Linked DNA regions of Ovis aries. Each later gene encodes a partner of the first gene's protein in a complex. Links are inferred from orthologs where the notes say so. Each region holds a gene or a part of one and is shown in the gene's direction. Other genes may lie near its edges.

Region 1 (4,793 bases):
CATTCAATGACAACCAAAAGGAGAGGTGCAGGCCATGAATAGGATCACTTCTCATCCAGTGTCTTCCTTTAATTCTCACTTCAGCATTTTGAAAGATGAAGAAATGAGGCACTGAGAGAGAGGTTAAGTAAGGGGTTGTTCCAGTTCATCCAGACCACAGTTTATAGAGGCGGATGACTGACCCTAGGCTCACTTTGGACTATTTCAGTTTCCCAGCTCCTGAGTCAGCTCTCTCCTACAGCTCACCCCTCCCACCGAAGCCTCCAGTAGTGGGAGCCAGGTCCGGACTCAGAACAAACCCTGGGAATGTGAAATGCCACTGTCACCAGTGGATAACGGATGAGCCAGTTCAAACCATCTGTCCTCTGGCTGAGGAAGGGTGGCGCCCTTACAGAGTGAGTACCTGGTAACTAGAGAACTTCAGGGGCATTCAGTCACCACACAGAATCCTCTTCCTCTGCTATTGCTGGCCTTAATGCTCCACTCACCCCTAAACAAGTAGGTGGGAGTGCTCCCAACACAAGCATGTATTCATATGCACATATGTACACACAGATGCATGTGCACAAGAGCTTCCTTGGTAGCTCTGGTGGTAAAGAATCTGCCTGCAATGCAGGGGACCCAGGTTTAATCCCTGGGTCCGGAAGATCCCCTGGAGAAGGGAATGGCAACCCACTCCAGTATTCTTGCCTGGAGAATCCCATGGACAGAGGAACCTAGAGGGCTACAGTCCATGGAGCCACAAAGAGTTGGACATGACTGAGAATGGCCAACAACACATGCATGTGCTCACATATGCTGACACACTCAAACACAAACATACAGACACACACCTACACACATGCTCACATAAGAGTCTCTCAGCTGAGCCAGGCTGTCAGAACTGCTCCTTCCCCTTCTCTGTCAAAACTGCTGTGGAGGTGGCCTCATACTGGAAGCCCAGAAGGACTTAGTAGCCTACTAGGGGAAAACGTACTTGCTTGATAAATAACTCCTGAGAAAAACAGATGAAAGAGAGGTGAATGTTAGCTGAGAGCCACGTGTGTACATGTGTGTATGTATGAGGCCAACAGGGACCAGCTAGGAGAAGAGGGGCCATCAGAAAGACAAGGATGGAAAGAAACAGGGAGAAAATGGAGACACACCCCTCCCGTACCTCTCCCTCCCTTCTTCCCTTCCCTTGTCTCCCCGAGGTTTCATTCAGTCCTGGGTAAGGCAGAACCTTGCTCAGGAGCCTGAGAATGGCCACGTCTCCAAGAGTATGGCGCCCTCTCCTAGATCTCATTTTTAAAAGTAAGGGAGCAAGGGCGCCTTCAATCAGCCCGCAGGTCTTCGAATGGACAAGGAATCTCTTGTGTAGTCCTGCTCTCTTCCAGCCTGTCCCTTAGAACCACCCTCCAGGTCTTCGCTCCCCTCAATCCCCTCCCCGCCACCTAAGGTTGAGGTGGCTGGCCCTTTAAAGCAGCGGCCCCCGGCCGGGTTATTGTCTCGCCTCTCAGCCAATCGGCGGCGCCGTTGGGGGCGGGGGACCTGGCCTCCCGATTGGCCGTCCCGAGCCCCGCCCCGCCCGGGATCCCGGGAGCTGTCCGGCGGCCTCGGTGCTGATCCTGCCGCCGCCCACGGGCCGCGAGCAGCGCTGAGAGGGCACTATGAGCGGGGGCGTCTACGGCGGAGGTGAGCGAGCCTCGGACTTCGGGATCTCCAGCCTGGCGCGGCCTCGCCCGAATCCCAGCGCCCCGAACCCATGCAACCCAAGCTCTGGGCACCCTGGGGCCTGTCACCTCTGCGCTCGAGCGGTTCCAGCCCCGGGTTTGGGTCCTGCATCATTCCAACCTTCGACCCTCCTCGGAATGCTTGCGCGTACCCGGCCCAACCTCTCCACCATTCAACCCGTCTCCGCCCGGCCTCTAGCCAGGCAAGGAACAGGGCCACTGGGCAGAAAGGGACTTCGGAGTCTTGATCTCCCACTCCCAGGACCCTGAACTCCTGGCCGAGCTCCCATCTGACCCTTCCGGGTTGAAGGTGGCTCTGCCGGGATCTCCTCTCGGAGCAATCCATGGAGAGTTTGGGAGATAACCCCTCACAAGTTTGTCTCCCGCACAGATGAGGTGGGGGCGCTGGTCTTTGACATTGGCTCCTTCTCAGTCCGCGCTGGGTACGCTGGGGAGGACTGCCCCAAGGTGAGCCTTCCAGCCCTCTGCCCAAATCCTAGGGCTCCCCTCCAGGCTTCCCAGTCATCCAGGGCTCTCAGCGCCCAGAGAAAAGCTCTGATGAGCGGGAATGTGGGAGTAAACCCAGGGGGTGGGCTGAGGGCCCTGCAAGATATGGCTTTCTCTCCTGTCCATGCCCCGCTCCAGGCTGACTTCCCCACCACGGTGGGGCTGCTGGCCGCGGAGGAGGGGGGCGGGCTGGAGTTGGAGGGGGAGAAAGAGAAGAAAGGGAAAATCTTTCACATCGACACCAACGCCCTCCACGTGCCTCGAGATGGAGCAGAAGTCATGTCTCCCCTCAAGAATGGCATGAGTATGGGGCCCCCACTACCGGCTCCTGACACAGACCCAGAACCCACACCCCACAACCCGGGGCACAGGACCCCACATTCACGGAGTAGTCCTTGCAGCTGCCCAAGTCCCAGGGATGCCCTCACTACTTCCCAAAGCTGCCTGGTTTCTCACAAGGGTCCACCAGATTCCTGGGAAAGGGGGGATTTCTGCTGGACGTTGTCTCACTTCCCCTCCCCTGGACTTGGCTTCCCTCCTTCCTTTCTGTTTCTGGACCCCTGCCTGCCCACCCTCATCTCTCCACTGATGTCCTGGCCCCAGTTGAGGACTGGGAGTGCTTCCGTGCAATCCTGGATCACACCTACAGCAAGCATGTCAAGTCTGAGCCAAACCTGCACCCAGTGCTCATGTCAGAGGCCCCGGTAAGTGCATAGTCCAGTCCCTAGTACAGCCCTGGAGTGGGCCATTCACCTCTCCTCAAGCCACTCCTCTCCTCAAGAGGAGTGATTACTCCTCTTTCTTTGCTTTTCAAACTTTCCTTCCAACTCTGTCAAGTTCAACCACTTTCCTTCCTCCCTGGGTTAGTCTCCATGCCTCCTTCTCTTCTGCTCTCTCCACTTGCCTTTCTGCCAGTCATCCTTACACGATGCCCCACCCCCCAAGTCCCCGTGTGACCTTTTAACTGAAATTTTTGGTCAATGTTATATACACCTATATAGAATCAATTTTATTTATAAACTGCCATGCATAGCCTCTTCCTTCTATTATCCCTTTTCCAGAGACAATTGCTTTTCTCTCTTTTAGCTTTTATTTTGCCATTACCTTTTATATCTCTAAATATCATAAATCACTGACTGTGAATTTTTCTAGCTCTAGGTATTATCTATGGGTTTCCCACTATAGAAAATGAGCGCTTAGCTCTCTTTCCTCCCCAACCCACACCATACACATTTTTTTCTTATTTGAAGTACTGTTGCAGTTTAGGGTTTTGGGGTTTTTTTTTTTAAGATTCAGTATTTATACTCTTATTATTATATATGCTAATCAGGCCTGAGACAGGCAATAAACTATTTATTTTCCTCTCTTGTGCAATTATTTGTTTTCTCTAGCACTGAAAATTTTCTTTGTTTCTGTTTTTCTTCATTTTCTATCTACTTAGTAATGTGACCTGAAATTATTCATCAGTTATCTTTATCTTTCCTCAAGACATTAATTGCTTTAGGTGTTCTATCAATTTCATCTCCAAGAAATCTCTCCGGGAGCCTACCAACCTGCTCTGCTGTAGACTAGTTAGCTTCTCTGCAGAAGATGTAGCTATAATCCTGACATCTCCCTTCACCTTCATCTTAAGAAAACACTGCACCTCTCTCCTGTATTACAAGTCCTGTTTCCAGTGGATCATGACTCTTTTCTTGATTTTTTCCCCCTTGTTTTCATGGAGCACATCTTCCAGTAATTGCTTTAGAAAGGACATAAGAAGTAACATTTTTGAGACTTTGCGTGTCTAACCTTGGATGTATAGTTTAGCTAGGTATAACACTCCAGGTTGGAAATAATTTTTCTTTGGAATTTTTTATTAAAAAATTATTTACTTGGCTGTGCTAGGTCTTAGTTGTGCCACATGGAATCTTCAGTCTTTGTTGTGACATGCATTTACCAGAGATTGAACCCAGGCCCCCTGCATTGGGAGTGCAGAGTCTTAGCCACTGGACCACCAGGGAAATCCCTTTTTATGGAATCTTGAAGGTACTTCTTCAATTCTTCCAACATCTACTGTTGCCATTAAGAAAGGCAAGGTCATTTACTTCCTGATCCTTTGATGTAAATTATTTTTGTTTCTGACAGTTTATAAAATTTTCACTTTGTCCTCAGTGTTTTACAGTTTCACAATATTATATTGGTTTATTTTTTTTTCATGGCTCTGGACACTCAATGTGTCTCTTTAATTTGGACACTTATGTCTTTCAATTCAATTAAAAATTTAATTACTTATTTGCTGATTTATTTCTTTCAATTTTCTCTGTTCTCTCTTAGGAAATCCTATTATTTGAATTTTATACGTCCTAAACTGGTCTTCTTCTAATGTTTTCATCTTTTATATTTTATGTATCTCTTTCTTCTAATTTCCAAGATATTCCCTTAATTTCTTTTTCAACTCTTCTATAAAGCTTTTAATTTCTGCTCCTCTATTTTTATTTTCCAGGAGCTCTTTCCTGTCCCATGAATGTTACTTTTTACTCATCTTTAAAAAATATGTATCAGTTTGGCTGTGTCAGGTCTTAGTTGTAGCAC
Region 2 (4,273 bases), on another chromosome or scaffold:
GATCCGCATGCGCAGCTGGGGACCTTGTGTGGGGCAGTGAACACTCCTGGCTGAGTCCATCACATGAAGGAGAGAGCTAGGCCAGTAGCCTCCTGTTGCTGGGCAGTGAGAACTGCTGTGTGGCGGTGGGGCTGCAGGCAAGCCACCAGTGGGCTCCACTGTCAGGAGGCGCCTGCCCAGCGCCCAGCCAGCCCCCCGGAGGGGTGGCACGCCCCCTCCCCCACACTAGCCAGGTCAGGCAGGGCCTGGATGCCCCCCGGGGCTCTTGGACAGACCTCTCTGCAGTGGAAGGGAGGCTGAGTGGTGGGACTCAGATGCCCGGACCCCGCGTGGCGCTGCATCGCCCCGCTCGCATGCTGCGACATGACTTGCATTGTCCACGTGAGGCCATCAGGCAGGAGGGGTCAGCCGGGCAGACTCGGCCTAGATACAAGAGGCTGCTGCAAGAGGGGAGCTGCCCTCGGGGGACCTGGGTGACAGCTCTGGCTGGAGACTCAATGGGGAAAAGTGTGATGGTCCACGCCCATGCTGCCCACATGGGCCCAGCGTGCCAGCTTCGCCCGTGGAAGTTACAAAGGATCCGACCTCGCAGGCGACCCCTGGAGACGGGAGGCACCTGATCTGAGTGGGCACCTTTTCCCTCTTGGCCTGCAGGCCCGGAGTAGAAACTTTGAGCCAGATGGCCTGTGGCGGGGACCCCGTCTCGCCGCCTCAGCTCTTGGTCCTGCCCACGTTAGCCCCGGGCCCTGTTTCCCCAGGTCTCTCGTGTCAGGGCAGGGCAGGAGATTCGGGGGGGTCCTGGCTTCCTTCGGTGTGTGGCTCCCCCCACCCCACCCCAAGGGGTGCTCCTGGGCCCAGGCGCTGGGGTACGAGGGGCCCCCGCTGCAGAGAGGAGTGAAAAGGCCACCGCCTCTCCCCCCGCCCCCCATCCTGGAAGGCTGCTGTCCTAGCGGGAAACTGAGCGGACGTCACCGATGGTGACACGCTGTGGGACAGGGCTGCAGAGGTGAGTTGTGCAGTCGCTGGGCTGATTGCTCCCTGGGCCACCGGGGACGTGGCCCAGGGGTGACGAGCGGTCTCGCAGACGGACAGCCCAGCCCGGGAGCCTCAGCTCAAAATGCCTTTGTTATTTTCCTCATAGTAAACGCCCCCTGTAAATTGGAGAGAAGGGCTCCCCCTGTGGGACGCGAGTTCCTTGAGTTACTTTGAGTCCCGCTTTCTAGAGTATCTTCCAACCCCTGAAGGCCGGGAGGCCAGAGGCGTTAGTTGTCTCAGGCTGGACTATGCATCTGAAACAACAGCCTGATCGAAAGTGTGCAAACCCCCGGGGACTCTCAGCCGCCCGCTGAGGGCAGGGCCCCCCCCAGGTCAGGACCCTCTCTGTGTCTCCAGTCCTGGCCCCCTGCCCAACCATTGACCCGAGCCTCCTCTCTGCTGCCCTCGGGGCTCTCCTGGAAATCTGCCCCCCACTCCCCTGTGAACCCTGACCTTCTTTCCTGAGTGCCCAGCCCAGCATACAGCACAGAGTGACAGCTCGTGGACTGGGCTGGGGCCCCCTGCCCTCTCCTCCCCTAAAACTGGTGACCCCGAGCAGGTGCCACTCGGAGCCTGGAGAATCGCCACCGCGGAGCTGGGCGCACAGAGGTCCGCACGGGGGCCTGGGCCCAGCAGGGGCGCAGCGGGCGTCCACTGGCCACGACCTGGTGGCTAGGGGCAGCTTCTGGCCCATAGGCTGAGCAGATGGGTGTCCTTGTCTCCCAGGGAACAGAAGGCCAAGAGGAACAGCCAGTGGGTACCCACCCTGCCCAACAGCTCGCACCACCTAGATGCCGTGCCCTGCTCCACCACCATCAACAGGAACCGCATGGGCCGCGACAAGAAGCGGACCTTCCCACTCTGGTGAGGGGCCTCGGCCGTGTGGCCTCCCGCCTGCGGGCTGTTTCCCGCTGTTTGCTTGTCGGCGGCGCCCCTGCGTCCTTGGAAAGCAGTTATCACCCCTGGGTCTGGGGGGGTGGCACGCCTGTTTTCCTTGCCCCGCACCGCCCCCGTCTCTTCCCTCTTCCCCATTCTAAAGGGCAGGCGTGAGCGCGGAGCTGCCTTGCTCTCCGTGCTCTGGGGCTCCCTCGGGGTCCAGGCTGCAGGCACGGAGCCCTGGGCACTTGGCCACCGAGGCTCCCCAGGGTCCCCCCCACCCCGGCCCGGTCAGCACCCCTCCTTCCCTGCTCCGCCAGCCGCTCCTCGACCCTCCTGCCCCTCGGCCTTTGTTCCAGGGTTTCTTCTTCTGGACATACCCTTTCTTCCCCAGAGCTGCTGGGAGAATCCTGCCTGCTCTGGGGCTTAAACCTCTCTTCCTGGGGGGAACATCTGAGCTTGTCCCGCTGCCCAAGTTGGCAGCTCCCCTCCCACCCTGAGTGGACCCCCACCGGCCCTGTCTCTGCCGGCTCAGCCCTTAGTGGACAGGTCCTCTCTGGGCAGGTCTCAGTGACCAGTGGTGCAGAGAGGGAAGCCCTGGGCACAGGGACACAGCCCGCTTTGCTGAGCATGCGGCCGCTTCCCTTCCAGCTTCGACGACCACGACCCAGCTGTGATCCACGAGAATGCGTCCCAGCCCGAGGTGCTGGTCCCCATCCGATTGGACATGGAGATTGACGGGCAGAAGCTGCGGGACGCCTTTACCTGGAACATGAATGGTCCGTCCGCCGCCCTGGCTGGCGTGCACTGAGCTCTGTCTGCCTGGTGTTGGGGGGGGGGGTCCTGTCGTCACCCAGGGGTGGGTGGCAGAGGAGGCAGGGCTGGGGGAGGCCAGGGCTGAGCGACCTGACCTTAGGCCCCGTGGTCCACCAGTGGTTCCCCACCTCCGTCTTCGTTTCAGAGAAGCTGATGACCCCGGAGATGTTCTCAGAGATTCTCTGTGACGACCTGGATCTGAACCCACTGACATTCGTGCCGGCCATTGCCTCCGCCATCAGACAGCAGATCGAGTCCTACCCCACGGACAGCATCCTGGAAGACCAGTCAGACCAGCGCGTCATTATCAAGGTAGGCGGCTCCTCACCCGCAGCAGGCCTGCCTTGTCCTCGGGGCTTGCGAGGTGCGGAGGTGCGTGGAGGCCTCGACAGGAGCTTGTCTGGGGTCTGTGTTGTGGGGCAGGGCTCTGGAAGGCTGTCTGGAAGGCAGCTTGTCCCAGGAGGGGCACGGGCCGACTTCTGAGGAGGGCATCACGTTCTGGGCGCGTCCAGGTGCTGCTGCGGCCTTGCCAGGCGTGGAGCGGAAGCTGGGTGGTCCCAGGGGTGACCCAGCTGACGGGCAGAGCAGGGAAGGGCACAGCGAGGCGGGCACACTGCCACTCTTGTTGTGGGCAGGCTGGGCCAGGCACACCTCCTGCTGTCTCAGCAACCCCCGCAGTCCTGGGGGCCGTCACGAGAAAAGAGGGGGCCACCTGCCCCGAGCCCCCCTCAAGAAGGGCTGCCTGGTGGTGAACAGCATCTCCCTGTGGTTCCGATTTGCGTTTCCCTGTTGATTTGTTTTTGTTCAGTGGCTCAGTCCTGTTGGGGATGCATGGACTGCGGCACGCCAGGCCTCCCTGCCCTTCACCGTCTCCCGGAGCTTGCCCAAACTCACGTCCATTGAGTCAGTGATGCCATCCAACCATCTCATCCTCTGTCGTCCCCTTCTCCTCCTGCCTTCAATCTTTCCCAGCATCAGGGTCTTTTCCAATGAGTCAGTTCTTCGAATCAGGTGGACAAAGTATTGTAGCTTCAGCATCAGTCCTTCAGTGAATATTCAGGACTGGTCTCCTTTAGAATGGACTGGTTGGATCTCCTTGCAGTCCAAGGGACTCTCAAGAGTGTTCTCCAACACCACAGTTCAAAAGCATCAATTCTTTGGTGCTCAGCTTTCCTTATGGTCCAGCCCTCACATCCCCACACGGCCACTGGAAGCCCACGGCCTTGGGTACGGACCTTTGTGGGCCTCCCTCGCTGCTGCGGGGCCCTGCTGGCCGTCTGCTTATCTTCTGCGTCTGCTGCAGTCCTTCCCATTTTGAGTCCGGGCTTTGTTGTTTTCTTGTTGTTTCATCAGTTCCCTGTATCTTATAGAGAGCGATCGTTTCCAGATCCTGTGATGTGCAGACGTTTTCTTCCACGGGTTGCCTTTTTATGTTGTCGATAGTGTCTTTTGATGCATAGAAGTTTTTTATTTTGGTGAAGTCCAGTTTATGTTTTCGCTTATCACCTATGCCTTTGACGTCATATCTGAGAAATCACTGCGAAAT
Region 3 (4,242 bases), on another chromosome or scaffold:
GCGCAAGCTGCGTCTTTATATCTCCAATACTTTTAACCCTGCGAAGCCCGATGCCGAGGATTCTGACGGCAGCATCGCCTCCTGGGAGCTGCGGGTGGAGGGGAAGCTCCTGGATGACGTACGTCCTGGCCCAGGTCTCTCCAGGTGTCCTGGGGTGGGTATGGGGCTGAGCTGAGGCCGGTACTGGATGTGTACACCGAGGGCTGGGGAAGTCAGCCCTGGCTGCGGGAGGGTGGTCCAGAGAGACGTGCCCAGGCCTGCTTCTGACTGTGTGGCCCTACCCGGCCAGCCCCCACCCGCTCCCAACTCACTCTGCCACCGTGGGCCCTGTTCCGCGCCCACGGTCCGTGCCTCTCCCACAGCCCAGCAAGCAGAAGCGGAAGTTCTCTTCCTTCTTCAAGAGCTTGGTCATTGAGCTGGACAAAGACCTTTATGGCCCTGACAACCACCTCGTGGAGGTAAGAAAGGCCCAGACCCCTCCTGCCCTCGAACTGGCCACAGGCCACTGTCCTAAAGAACCTAGAATGCAGTCCCGTTCGTGGTGTAGACCTGGGTCGGGGACCCCCTCCGCCAGGCCCCCAGTCCTGCACCCAGAGCTCCAAGGCCCCACCAGCTCAGACGGGCCTGTGAGGTGACTCAGCTCCTACCCCTGGACAGTGGCACCGGACACCCACCACTCAGGAGACGGATGGGTTCCAGGTGAAGAGGCCGGGGGACCTGAGTGTGCGTTGCACGCTGCTCCTCATGCTGGACTACCAGGTGCGTGCCCTCACTCCCAGACACCGCTCCCCCCAGCATCCCGCCTCCTGTACCCTTCTCCTAGCTGGGGTGGGTCATGGCTTGCAAGCTGTATGCCCTGAGAGACCCCGTTCTCCCCTCCACCCTGCCTGCTCCAGAAGCTTGTTTCCAAGGAGCCTAGGCCCCGCAGCCCCCGAGTCCTGAGTCCCTAGCCCCTCCCGCTCTCTTTTTGTCTCATTTTCTCATGGCCTCCTTGGCTCAGCCTCCCCAGTTCAAACTGGATCCCCGCCTGGCCCGGCTGCTGGGCTTGCACACGCAGAGCCGCTCGGCCATCGTCCAGGCCCTGTGGCAATACGTGAAGACCAACCGGCTGCAGGACTCCCACGACAAGGAGTACATCAACGGCGACAAGTATTTCCAGCAGGTACCCTCTCCCCTGAGCCTGGGGCCACGGGGAGGGGAAGGGCCTCTGCTCGGGACCACCACCCTGCCTCCTTGACTCCGTCGGGAATGATCTCAAGCCGGAGACCGGGGTTCCCATCTGGGCTCTGTCACACCGCCCTGTGCTGCAGCCCGCCTGTCTCAGCACCCCCAGCCCCCAGGTGAGGCCGATTGGGAACCCCAGGAAGCTAGTGGCTCTGGGGAACATGTTCTTGGCACCTGGAGCTAGGGCCCCCAGGTTCTGGCCCTGGAGCCAGTCACTGGGTCCGTCATTTAGCTGTTTGCAGCCTTGTTCCTTATCTTCGCCACGCCTGTCCCGTCTTACCCACTGGGCAGTTAGGAGAATCAAACTGCTGTGGAAGTGATACTGCCAAACTAGAGGTTATTATTAATATAACTTTAAAATAAATACCACAGGTAGCCTTGAGTGGTGAAAACAACAGTCAGTGTTTATTGAGCACTCACCACATGCCAGGCGCTGCTTCAGGCACTTCGTGTGTAACTGACGCATTTAATTCTAACAAGCCCCCTGAGATCAGTGCCCCTGCCTTCGGCTCCCAGAGATGGAGAGACTGAGGCCGACTGTGAAGTTGAGCGGCTCGGGGTTGCGCCGTGGGCGGAGGAAGCAGGCCTCAGGCCCAGGCCGGCCCCCGCCTCCTCATTGAGAGCTGGCTGCTTGGGGGGCCTTTTGAGAATGAAGGCTCTTTTGAGTGCAGAGCAGGGAACCTCTTTTCTCCTACTGCAGATTTTTGACTGTCCCCGGCTGAAGTTTTCTGAGATTCCCCAGCGCCTCACAGCCCTTCTGCTGCCCCCTGACCCGATTGTCATCAACCATGTCATCAGGTGAGGCCCCCCCCATCCCTGCTTCTCAGAGCTGGGAGTCACTATGGTGGTCCCGCCGCCCCATCCCTCCCTCTGCCCACCCCCCACATCAGGCCTCGGAGGCCCTTGGCCTCCATCGGGGCAGCATGGACACAAGGGCTGGCCTTCCCTGGCAGCGTGGACCCGTCGGACCAGAAGAAGACGGCGTGCTATGACATTGACGTGGAGGTGGAGGAGCCCCTGAAGGGGCAGATGAGCAGCTTCCTGCTGTCCACGGCCAACCAGCAGGAGATCAGCGCTCTGGACAGTAAGGTGGGGCTGGAGCCCAGCGCTGCAACAGGATGGGGACCCAACGGTGACAAACGCACAGACACAGCAGGACAAGGACGTGGGAGAGGACGGGAGGGCCCTGCCCTTGGGACCTGGAGCTCCGCCCGAGCCCCCTTCCCGGGGACTGCCCTTCCAGGGGACAGCCGAGAGCCCCCTGCCACGCCCCCTCCCCGCCTCTCCCACCTCAGCCTGGGCAGGCGAGAGCACGTGTCTTTCTACCTGCAGATCCACGAGACGATTGAGTCTATTAACCAGCTCAAGATCCAGAGGGACTTCATGCTGAGCTTCTCCAGAGACCCCAAGGGCTACATCCAGGACCTCCTCCGCTCCCAGAGCCGGGACCTTAAGGTGAAGGGAACCTCGGGGAGCGCTGGGTAGAGACAAGCATGCCGGGGAGACAGTGAATGTCATGCGGGGGTGTCCAGGCTCAGGATGACCCTGTTGCTCCCTCCCAGGTGATGACAGACGTGGCGGGCAACCCCGAGGAGGAGCGCCGGGCTGAGTTCTACCACCAGCCTTGGTCCCAGGAGGCCGTCAGCCGCTACTTCTACTGCAAGGTGTGAGGCCCGAGCCCCCGCCCCTCCGGCTCCCTGCTCACCCCCAGAGAAACCCCCCAGCCTCCCCCTCAACACGTGGGGCCGTGCCTGCTCCCAGATGCTCCTCCAGGTGGGTGGGGCCCGTCCCGTCACTCACCAGCAACTCGTCACCTGTGCCTGCTCTCCTTTCCTTACAGATCCAGCAGCGCAGGCAGGAGCTGGAGCAGTCGCTGGTCGTGCGCAACACCTAGGCGCGTGGGGGAAGCGTGCCGCAGAGGGCCACTCGGCCCTGCCCCGGCCCGTCCCCTCGGGCCTGGCTGTCACCCCCGACACCTTGTGGGCGAGGCAGGGGCTGGATTAAAGGTCATTTACCTGATAACAGCCGTGTGGTCATTGGCAACTGGGGCGAGAGGAGGATTGAGGGGGGCAGGAAAAGGGCAGTGGGCCCCTCCGGGAAGCTCCCCACCCCCTCCCTCAGAGTCTCCTTACTCCCATTTTTCCTAGACCTAAAAACAGTTTGGCAGAAGACACTTTTAATAACATTTTCTTATTGAAAAAAAAAAAACACAGCGGCGAGCTCTCCCATCTGTCCATGCATCTTGCCTGCCTCCCCAGGCGGGGCCCGGCAGGGGCTGTGTGTGGAGGTGCGGGGCCCCGAGCACACTAGGTGCTGTTGGCCTGCTCCTGCTCGAACAGGGCCATGGCCAGCTGCGCACGGGCCCCCAGCCCCTCCAGGTTGCTGAGGCGGCAGCGGTGGTAGAGTTCCTCGCTGAGCCTAGGGCTGCAGTCCCGCAGGGAGAACTTCTGCACCAGCCCTGGCTCCACGGCCCGGAAAAGGTGGAGCCCTGAGAACCGGAGGAAAACATCCATCACCTCCAGCCCCTCCAGGGCTTCCTCCTCTTCCTGGCCTGCCAGGTCGGCGGCCAGCCGGGCTCGGGCAGCCAGGTAGTCCGCATTGTAGAAGCAGCCCTCTGCCGAAGCCTGCCGGTCAAACCTGCCCCCTCCGGCAGCCCCCCGGGCAGGGTCCGCACCCGGAGGGGAAGGGGGGTCGGGGCCGGCCCCCGAGGGCGGTCTCTGTGGTGCCAGGGCGGGGTTGAACTCCTGGAAGTGGACCGGGAAGAAGGCCTGCCAGCCGGAGATGGCGTTCATGCGGCAGCGGTTGAGGACCTCGGGCCCTGGCCTGGTCCACACGGTGGCGAGGAAGAAGAGCGTGTCCACGGGGTGCTTCTTGGAGACCACGTCCATGAGCCGCACCTGGGAAGGCGCCTCCGCTCGCACGGCGAGCCAGGCCAGCCTCGTCCCAGGGTACCGTCGTTCCAGCTCAGCCGCTGCCGCCTTCACCCCGACGAACGGGTCTGGGGCCCCTCGGCCCCCT
Region 4 (4,273 bases), on another chromosome or scaffold:
ATTACAAGTACACAAATATTGTTACAAATACAGAGACATAAAAGAAAGGGAAAATATACAGCTGGGCTGTTTAGGACAAAAAGTATTACCTTCCCAGATCACATAATCCAGAGGGTGAGCTTCAGGTGTGCAGAAACAGCCACTTCTGACATTTTAGTATCAAATATAAAATTAGAAAAATGAAATACCAAGAATTAGAACATCAGTATAAACCAAATGGGTGCATAAAAGTAAATGTTCGTAAATCTGGGAGTATGAAATAGCACATGTGTTTGTGATGAACACATGTTTGCTTAAGAAATCTATTAAAATTACCTTGGCAGAAAAGTTCAAGAAATCTTAAGTCAAGAAAGCGGATCATTCTGAGAGAATGCTAGTAACTGGCCATTAATTTAGAAGGCTCTCAAATGTAAAGTGCACACACCGCTGGGTCCAATGACGTGTGACCAACCTTGTATTTTTCAACACACATCATGTATGTGCTCTACCTCCATATGATTTAGTTTTAATAAAGCCATACATTGGTCATTTATATTTTGACAAGGAAATGTAGGCATCTATGTAATGAGGAGGGGGGCTCTATAATATTACAGTTGGAACTTTAAACTCAGTGTAGCCATTCAATGAACTTGTACCCTTTTTGAAAAAAAAAGAAAAAATGACATGAGAGGTCATTGGAGTCTTGCCTTCTGGGATTCAACGCTTATATTGATAAAGTAAAAAAGATTTTTATTCTGTTTTTGTTTTTCAAGTATATAAAAGGGGGAGTTTGGGCCCTTTAGTTAAAGTAAATTTTTAATTAAGCAAATGTATACTTTGTGCCTGAACTAGTAGCCTTCATTCCTGATTGTTGTGTGATAGCAGTAGTTTTAAAATTTCTTCTCTTCTTGTATTTGGTAGCTCATTACTTTTTTTCTCGCCTTCTTCCATTTCCCTTGGCCCACTTATGCCCCATCTCCAAATGCTACCCTGGGCTCTAGAAGTCCAGCTCATCCACCACCACTGGGGAAAAGATCACAAAGGTGTATGAGCTGGGGAATGAGCCAGAGAGGAAGCTGTGGGTGGACCGCTACCTCACCTTCATGGAGGAGAGGGGCTCCCCGGTCTCAAGTCTGCCTGCGGTGGGCAAGAAGCCCTTGGACCTGTTCCGACTCTATGTCTGCGTCAAAGAGATCGGAGGTTTGGCACAGGTGAGAAAAGATGAATGAGGAGATGCTATGGATGAGCTTTGAATATGCAAACTTGAATTTTTTTTTCTCACAAAGAAAAAGCTGAGCCTCTGGGAAGGTCACTTCACTGGATCCATGTTCACGTGTGGCAGGTCGGGGGCGGGGGCTGCCCTGGGGTCAGGGACCTCGATCTGCCACCCATTCGCAGAGTGACTTCAGTAGGTCATTTATGTGGACTCAATCCTCAACGGTAAAATGAGACATTTGAGCTAGGTTTTGCTTTAGGGTCCCTAACAGCTCTAGAATTCTGTGGAATCTGTGTTAGAATTTCATAGTAAACAGAAATGTTTTGCAAATGACTAAATTGTCTGGATCAGATATAAATCAAATTCACTGTTTCCCTCTATCCAGAGCAAGTTAACAAGAAAACTGTCATCCTTCTACAACCATGTCCGCTGTACCTGGATGACAGGAGGGGCAATGCTGTCCTTTCCCACAGCTGGGGGCACCCAGGTGCAGAGTGCCCGGAGGCACTCCTATGGGGTAGTGCAGATGCCTCTCCTGCACTTGCCCCTTCATTCTGTACCCTAGGGGCCGCATTCTCCTTTCCCTGTCACAGCCCTGTTTTTAGCCCTGGGAAGGGTTTGTGTGTCCATATCCCGAAGTAGCATGGAGAAAAGGGCCTTCAAGGGTGAGTGCCTGCCGCATCCTGGGCACCATCCTTTTTCTTGTCACTTCTCTCTCAACACCCATGGAATGCAGAGTCATCAGCCCTGAAGAAGAGATGTAACAGATTGAAGTACAGTCGTCCCCTGGGGTCCACAGAGCACTGGTTCCAGGATCCCCACAAATACTGAAACCCTGTGAGCTCGAGCCTCTTTATTTCTGGAACCTACACACCACCTCCCATATACTTCAGATCATCTCTCAGTTACTTATAATACCCAATACAGTGTAATGCTATGTAAACAGTTGCTGGTACAAGTTCAAGTTTTGCTTTTTGGAACTTTCTTTTGGGCGAGGTGGGGGGGGGGGCTTTTTTTTTCTTTTTCAGTACTTTCAATTCACAATTCGTTGAATTCAGAAATACAGAACCAGGGAACAGGGAAGGCCGACTGTACAAGAATGTTGTGGCCCAGGGACTCTCAGGGTAGGTGGTGGGGCCAAGTTTGTTTGATTGCGAAGCGCATGCCCTTTATCTGCCCTTGGTTCTCCGACCTAGCTGTTCATTAGCAGCACCTGGGAGCATTTAAAACCTGTCAGTTCCTGGGCTCCTTCCCAGACTAGTGAAAGGAGCTGCTCCGGGCCTCAGGTGTTCCAGGCCTCACTATCCAAAGGTAGGTCAGCTGATGCACAGGTATCACTGAGGACCCACCCTGGTATCTGGGCTGCAGGGCTTGCAGGAGAGGCTTTTGTTCTCAGCCCTCCCTGAGGAGCCTCCTCCTACCCGAGACTGAGGCCTCCAAGTAAAGCAATTAGAGCTTGACTCCAGAAGGCGTAATCAGATGGGGTCACAGGATGCAGACCAGGTGTGACCAGGTGTGGGTGATGGCCAGCGAAGGGTTTCACCCAGCTCACAGAAGCAAGGAACCATCAGGACACCTCACTCAGCCAAGTGGACTCCCAGGTTGGGTCTTAGCTGATGAAGTTGCTTGAATGTAGTAGTGATTCCCAGCGGTGAGGCCTTGGCCGCATTGTCACTCACACCCCATCAGATGTGGTTCAAACAGGTGCTGCAGCCCCAGAGGGATCAGCTAAAAGCCTTGCTTTTCAGGGTGTCCCAGGCAGCACTCTGCCTGTGATTTCAGAAGCAGTCACAGGCCTGCCCGTTGCAGCCTGGCATTCAGTACCAAAAATGGCACTAAGCATTCTCGAGAGTATTCTCTGGTTTCTCACGCACCATTTAATACTAAGTAAATGGACATAAAGAGCTTTGTGAGGAAGTTTGAATCCAAAAATTGAACATTTCATTCAAACTCACTGTCCCTTTAACTCATGCTACTTAATACAGGACACATCTAAAGGCAAAATATTCCCCAAGCATTTGCAGGCCTTCATGTTTCCTTCGTGTGTCAGCCTCGTGTGACCTGTTCCCATTGGGAATCAGAAAGTTAAACCAATTGCTCAAATTTTATATAACATTTGAGGATTCCCTTCCTTTCTTCTCTTTTTGCAGTTGTATTCCCTCCAGCCTGAGTGCAAGTGGGAACACTGGATGGTCCTATGTGCCCCTTCCGAAGCCCACTGGTGCTGCCATGTCAGCTAGCTGGTGGCTCCACAGCTCAGACAGGGTTGATGACTTCTGCTGGACTGTTAGGTTGGGCTCATTTGGTTGGGGCCTCCTTCACCCAACACTACAAGAAAGCCTCACGTGAAAGACTGGGCATGAACAGAAATTATGAGGCTCATCTTTCTGGAAGCTTGTGGCTGTTGGAAGGAGACATTGTTTTTCTTATTAAGGCTCAGATACTTAAATTGCAAAATAATTCTGTTATTGCTTTTTAAATTAGTTTTTAGACACCCTTTTATAAAAAAAATAAGAGTGAGATGGGGGTGAGCAAGAGCACCTTTGCTCAGAGATAAATCGCCGGCTCCGGGCTGCACCCGCTCTGGCAGACTCGGAGGCATTAGAAGATGCACCGGGCAGAAGAATCTCCGTGAGCAAAGCTTTTTATGTAGCTATCAGCAGGTTCCTTAATGGTTTTATAACTGTAAATGCTGTCTAGGCACTACTGAGTGGGAGTAATGAACATTAGTTAAAAGAGGCAAATGAAAAATAATAAAAGTATCCAAGATATTAAATGCTTTTTTTTGTTTCCTGGCTTTAAATAAGCCACTTTGCTGCAAACCAGTGATCCTGCCTTTTTTTTTTTTTTTTTTTTTGGCTAGGTTAATAAAAACAAGAAGTGGCGTGAGCTGGCAACCAACCTAAATGTTGGCACTTCGAGCAGTGCAGCAAGCTCCCTGAAAAAGCAGTATATTCAGTACCTGTTTGCCTTTGAGTGCAAGATCGAGCGTGGGGAGGAGCCCCCACCGGAAGTCTTCAGCACAGGCGACACCAAGAAGCAGCCCAAGCTCCAGCCGCCATCTCCTGGTAAGTGGGG
Region 5 (4,779 bases), on another chromosome or scaffold:
CCACTCTTAGAGTCTTAAGAAGTTTGTGCCTTTTTAGTTTAAGATGATATTAGGTTTTCTGGGGGTTAAGAATGAGTTCAGGTTTGGGGAATTATTCAGTGGCCAGTGAGTGGCACAGCCAAAAAACCTCCAGGGGCCTGCGGAATCTGGAAATTCTAAGGTAATGGTTCTGTGGCCATGAAGCATCTATTTACAATATTTAAGTGGGGATGAAACCCTGGTGTCTAATGACTAGCTGACCTAGCATCTCTCAAGGCAGCCCTGGGCTTCGTGAGAAGCCGGTATCCCTTCTGGCCTGTGTAGCCTGTCATGTCAGAGCATTCTAAGTCAGTCAGAGGACAAGGCTGCTGCTGAGATGTGGTGGAGCCTGTGAATCTAGAATTTTCTGTGTATACCTCCAGTTCACTCAGCATCTCCCATTCAGCATCTCTTAGAATGTAACAGTAAACTTTAATGATTCCTTACAATGAAGGATAGAAAAACAAATTTAGGCTGCATCTGTTTTCTGAGTGAGGTGTTAGACTGCACCTTTTCTCTCTTTTTAAGGAGAAAACGGTTCCCTCTACTTGGTCATCCCTCTTCGGCAGAGGTTCCTTTGAACACTCAGGTTCCACCAGTCCCTGGAGTCTCTTCTGTGGTCTGTTACAGTCTTACAGGTACTGTCTTTGGAGACGGGACCTTGGTCATTGTGGGCAAAGGTGGGGCTTGTGTCTTCCTCCAAGAAGGCGGTCATATGTCCCCAAAATATCTTCAGGGGTGACCATTTTATATCGGTTGAGATGACCAGCTTGAATCTCAAACCCATTCTGATGTTCTGATCCCACTGTTGTATATGGCACCACTTTTCTTTTTATTACTATTATTTCTAACGCTAAGTAGACAGGGGCAGCACTGGGGACTCTGCTACTTTTTAAAGTCACCCTCCACTGCCCTTGTCTTTGTAAGTGATAGACTAAGTGATAGGCCGGTCCCCTTCGCTATCTTATGAGTCTGTAAAATGGGGATCAGGAACTTCGTGCCCCCAGGGCCTGTGAGGACCGGCTAATGAGGGCAGAGAGTGGGAAAACGGAAAGTCTGAAACAATGATCTGTCATTCCATGCAGCTTGCAAAGAGGATACAACGTAAAGCTCAGCTGGGTCTTTGGAGCAGGTCTGCAAAAGGCTTTGAAGAAGGAAAAGTGCCGCGGAGATGCTAAGTAGCGGCCAAGAGACCAGGCCCGCTGCCAGGGGGGGTCAGGCCTGGGCCGAGGCGGCCGCGGTCTCGGGCTCAGGCCAATTTTGCAGCCGCGAGTAAAGTTCACGCTGCCCGCGGCGCGAAGGGGACCGACCTGGATAGGGAGGCCAGGAGGGAGGCGGCGCGCAGGCTCCGGAGAGGCGCGAGCTCCGGGCCGGGTTTTCCCCGAAGCCTTCGGCGGCGGCGCTGCCGAGCGAGAGCGGCAGAGCGCTTGCCGCCGCCGCCGCCGCCGCCGCGGCTGGTTCTCTCCCCTCCTCCTTTGTGAGGGGAAGGGAGCGAGTCCGTTCCACGGCCTGCGCCCCGCTCCGCGCTCCGTTCCGGGTTTGCCAGGCGGCCGCGACGGCGCTGGGTAAAATGGCAGTGCTGAGCCTCGTGTCGGAGTGAGGGGGACTCGGAGGAGAGTGGGGCGCTCTAGCCGCTCAGTCCGGCCGCCCGCCCGCTCGCCCGCTCGCCGCCGCGCAGCAGCCTCGGCCCGGCGCCGCGGCCGGGGAGGGGAGGCAGGGCGCCCGGCCCGGCCCACGCTCCGACTCTGCCTGCCGGCGCCCGGGCTGCTGCCGCGCGCCCTCCAGCCCGCCCGTCCCGGGTCCCCCTCCCCCCGCTCCCTCCCTCCCTCCCCGCCCCCTCCCCCTCGCCTCCCTCCCTCCCCTCCCTCCCTCCCTCCTTTCTCCGGCAGCAGAAAGCGGAGAGTCACAGCGGGGCCAGGCCCTGGGGAGCGGAGCCTCCACCGCCCCCCTCATTCCCAGGCAAGGGCTTGGGGGGGAATGAGCCGGGAGAGCCGGGTCCCGAGCTTACAGAGCCGGGAGCAGCTGAGCCGCCGGCGCCTCGGCCGCCGCCGCCGCCTCCTCCTCCTCCGCCGCCGCCGCCAGCCCGGAGCCTGAGCCGGCGGGGCGGGGGGGAGAGGAGCGAGCGAGCGAGCGAGCGAGCGAGCGCAGCGCAAAAGCCGCGGAGCCCCGCGAGGCCCGCCCGGGCGGGTGGGGAGGGAAGCCCGGGGGGACTCGGCCCCGGGGCGGGGTGGGGTGGGAGGGGGGTGAGAGAAGACGAAGACAGGGCCGGGTCTCTCCGCGGACGAGACAGCGGGGATCATGGCCGCGCAGGTCGCCCCCGCCGCCGCCAGCAGCCTGGGCAATCCGCCGCCGCCGCCCTCGGAGCTGAAGAAAGCGGAGCAGCAGCAGCAGCAGCAGCGGGAGGAGGCGGGGGGCGAGGCGGCGGCGGCGGTCGCGGCGGAGCGCGGGGAAATGAAGGCAGCCGCCGGGCAGGAAAGCGAGGGCCCCGCCGTGGGGCCGCCGCAGCCACTGGGAAAGGAGCTGCAGGACGGGGCCGAGAGCAATGGGGGTGGCGGCGGCGGCGGAGCCGGCGGGCCCGGCGCGGAGCCGGACCTGAAGAACTCGAACGGGAACGCGGGCCCTAGGCCCGCCCTGAACAATAACCTCACGGAGCCGCCCGGCGGCGGTGGCGGCGGCAGCAGCGACGGGGTGGGGGCGCCTCCTCACTCAGCCGCGGCCGCCTTGCCGCCCCCAGCCTACGGCTTCGGGCAACCCTACGGCCGGAGCCCGTCTGCCGTCGCCGCCGCCGCGGCCGCCGTCTTCCACCAACAACATGGCGGACAACAAAGCCCTGGCCTGGCAGCGCTGCAGAGCGGCGGCGGCGGCGGGGGCCTGGAGCCCTACGCGGGGCCCCAGCAGAACTCGCACGACCACGGCTTCCCCAACCACCAGTACAACTCCTACTACCCCAACCGCAGCGCCTACCCCCCGCCCCCCCAGGCCTACGCGCTGAGCTCCCCGAGAGGTGGCACTCCGGGCTCCGGCGCGGCGGCGGCGGCGGCCGCCGGCTCCAAGCCGCCTCCCTCCTCCAGCGCCTCCGCCTCCTCGTCGTCTTCGTCCTTCGCTCAGCAGCGCTTCGGGGCCATGGGGGGAGGCGGCCCCTCAGCGGCCGCAGGGGGAACCCCCCAGCCCACCGCCACCCCCACCCTCAACCAACTGCTCACGTCGCCCAGCTCGGCCCGGGGCTACCAGGGCTACCCCGGGGGCGACTACGGCGGCGGGCCCCAGGACGGGGGCGCCGGCAAGGGCCCGGCGGACATGGCCTCTCAGTGCTGGGGGGCTGCTGCTGCTGCGGCGGCGGCGGCCGCGGCCGCCTCGGGAGGGGCCCAACAAAGGAGCCACCACGCGCCCATGAGCCCTGGGAGCAGCGGCGGCGGGGGGCAGCCGCTCGCCCGGACCCCGCAGGTAACACGGCTGGTGGGGTAGGGGGGGCTGTGGCGAGTGGGGCGGGGGGGTCCTGGGAGTGGATGGCGGCGGCGGGGAGCGGGCCACGGCCGTGGGCTACCCCCAGTCTGGGGCCCCCACTGCTGGGGAGCTGCCATTGTCTCGCTCTTTCTCTCTTAAAATGGCTGCCCGTCTGCCTTCCTCTCTTTCCCTCCTTCAGCCTTTGTGTGGGGCTTTCCTTGAGGTGTCTGCTCCCCTCCTCCTCCTCCCCGGGTCCCTTCCAGCTCCGGGGGGTCTTCAGAGGGGTGCGGAGCCGGGTGTGCGGGAAAAGGGCCCGGCCCGGGGTGAGGGGGTGTTGGGGGCTCAGGTTAGGGGTGTAGGCAGCCCTCGGAGGTCGGGAGTTGAGTGAACAGTTCTTTGCTCACCTGCCGCTCCTCTCTGCCCTCCCTACCTTCCTCTAGGCCGGTCCCCATCTGTGCTTTCAAGGAGGGGGCCCCTCGGGCTCGGGGGGACCTCGAGGGAGGGCAGGGGCCTGCTTGGGAGCAGCTAGAGCCCGGCTTCGGTTCACCCTGGGCAGCCCAGGTCGTCTCCTGTCTTAGTCTCCGTCGGCCCAGTGGCCTGGGCTTCTCCCTGGAAGTGCTGGTAAACAGCTGAGTGATTGGAGTAGTAAGTGCAGATTGCTTTGGTTTGGGATTTGAATTATGGAGGTAAAATCCTTCTGTCAAAGCCAGGAGACAGTTGGTCTTAGGTTGACATCCTATCTGTGATCTGATTGGCTCCCCATCTCCTGCTCTTGGCCATTTATAATTGCCTCTGATGTAATGGTACAACAATCCTGATGAGCTCATAAACTTTTACACTCTGCTTTTCTGCCAGTGATAACCCAAACCATCGCTGCCACTATCTGCCTTTTATTCCAGAGCTGAAATTGGCTGTGACCTTGAGGAGGGAGATTTAAGCAGCAATACTGTATCAGCAGGAGCAGAGCCCCAGACAGGCTGCCCTTGTTACATTGTGCCCGGAACAAAAGAGGAGGCAGTGGGATTTTGCTTGTACCTTGGATTTATTTTGCTTGTTATGTTTTATGCAGCCTGAAATAGATTCTGTGTTGTCCGAACAGTAGCTGAGTTTTTCTCTACAATGGGTTTGCTGTTTGTTTTGGTTTTGTGACTTTCCTGATGGTATAAATGACTTCTTTGATGGCTCTGAAGATGCGTTTGTCTTGAGTAATTTTGACCCTGTTCGCTTTGCAGAATTGAAATTATTTTACTGAGCTTTTTATTGAGTGGCAAATGTGGGATCTTTATCAGAGGGGGTAAGAGAAAACTTTGAGAACTG

What was found.
Region 2: ACTL6B (region 1) and SMARCB1 share a complex: the UniProt entries of both Homo sapiens proteins name them as parts of the BAF complex. The link is inferred for Ovis aries from reciprocal best matches to the Homo sapiens genes ACTL6B and SMARCB1.
Region 3: ACTL6B (region 1) and SMARCD3 share a complex: the UniProt entries of both Homo sapiens proteins name them as parts of the BAF complex. The link is inferred for Ovis aries from reciprocal best matches to the Homo sapiens genes ACTL6B and SMARCD3.
Region 4: ACTL6B (region 1) and ARID1B share a complex: the UniProt entries of both Homo sapiens proteins name them as parts of the neuron-specific chromatin remodeling complex. The link is inferred for Ovis aries from reciprocal best matches to the Homo sapiens genes ACTL6B and ARID1B.
Region 5: ACTL6B (region 1) and ARID1A share a complex: the UniProt entries of both Homo sapiens proteins name them as parts of the neuron-specific chromatin remodeling complex. The link is inferred for Ovis aries from reciprocal best matches to the Homo sapiens genes ACTL6B and ARID1A.

Annotation. Positions count from the first base shown.
Region 1 is NC_056077.1:36,353,443-36,358,235, forward strand, and holds the start of ACTL6B (actin-like protein 6B), read left to right. Parts: upstream 1-1,565; 5' UTR 1,566-1,649; coding exon 1,650-1,674; intron 1,675-2,103; coding exon 2,104-2,523; intron 2,524-2,822; coding exon 2,823-2,923; intron 2,924-4,793. UniProt on the Homo sapiens protein: Involved in transcriptional activation and repression of select genes by chromatin remodeling (alteration of DNA-nucleosome topology).
Region 2 is NC_056070.1:71,294,704-71,298,976, forward strand, and holds part of SMARCB1 (SWI/SNF-related matrix-associated actin-dependent regulator of chromatin subfamily B member 1), read left to right. Parts: intron 1-1,761; coding exon 1,762-1,899; intron 1,900-2,562; coding exon 2,563-2,690; intron 2,691-2,872; coding exon 2,873-3,039; intron 3,040-4,273.
Region 3 is NC_056057.1:115,430,510-115,434,751, reverse strand, and holds the end of SMARCD3 (SWI/SNF-related matrix-associated actin-dependent regulator of chromatin subfamily D member 3), read left to right. Parts: coding exon 1-118; intron 119-362; coding exon 363-458; intron 459-657; coding exon 658-759; intron 760-1,000; coding exon 1,001-1,162; intron 1,163-1,607; exon of another isoform or gene 1,608-1,924; coding exon 1,925-2,022; exon of another isoform or gene 2,023-2,177; coding exon 2,178-2,313; exon of another isoform or gene 2,314-2,332; intron 2,333-2,550; exon of another isoform or gene 2,551-2,556; coding exon 2,557-2,679; exon of another isoform or gene 2,680-2,786; coding exon 2,787-2,888; exon of another isoform or gene 2,889-3,064; coding exon 3,065-3,118; 3' UTR 3,119-3,246; downstream 3,247-4,242. Other genes in the region: CHPF2 (chondroitin sulfate glucuronyltransferase), read right to left, coding at 3,531-4,242. UniProt on the Homo sapiens protein: Involved in transcriptional activation and repression of select genes by chromatin remodeling (alteration of DNA-nucleosome topology).
Region 4 is NC_056061.1:81,557,345-81,561,617, forward strand, and holds part of ARID1B (AT-rich interactive domain-containing protein 1B), read left to right. Parts: intron 1-980; coding exon 981-1,190; intron 1,191-4,058; coding exon 4,059-4,263; intron 4,264-4,273. UniProt on the Homo sapiens protein: Involved in transcriptional activation and repression of select genes by chromatin remodeling (alteration of DNA-nucleosome topology).
Region 5 is NC_056055.1:240,200,847-240,205,625, reverse strand, and holds the start of ARID1A (AT-rich interactive domain-containing protein 1A), read left to right. Parts: upstream 1-1,553; 5' UTR 1,554-2,316; coding exon 2,317-3,462; intron 3,463-4,779. UniProt on the Homo sapiens protein: Involved in transcriptional activation and repression of select genes by chromatin remodeling (alteration of DNA-nucleosome topology).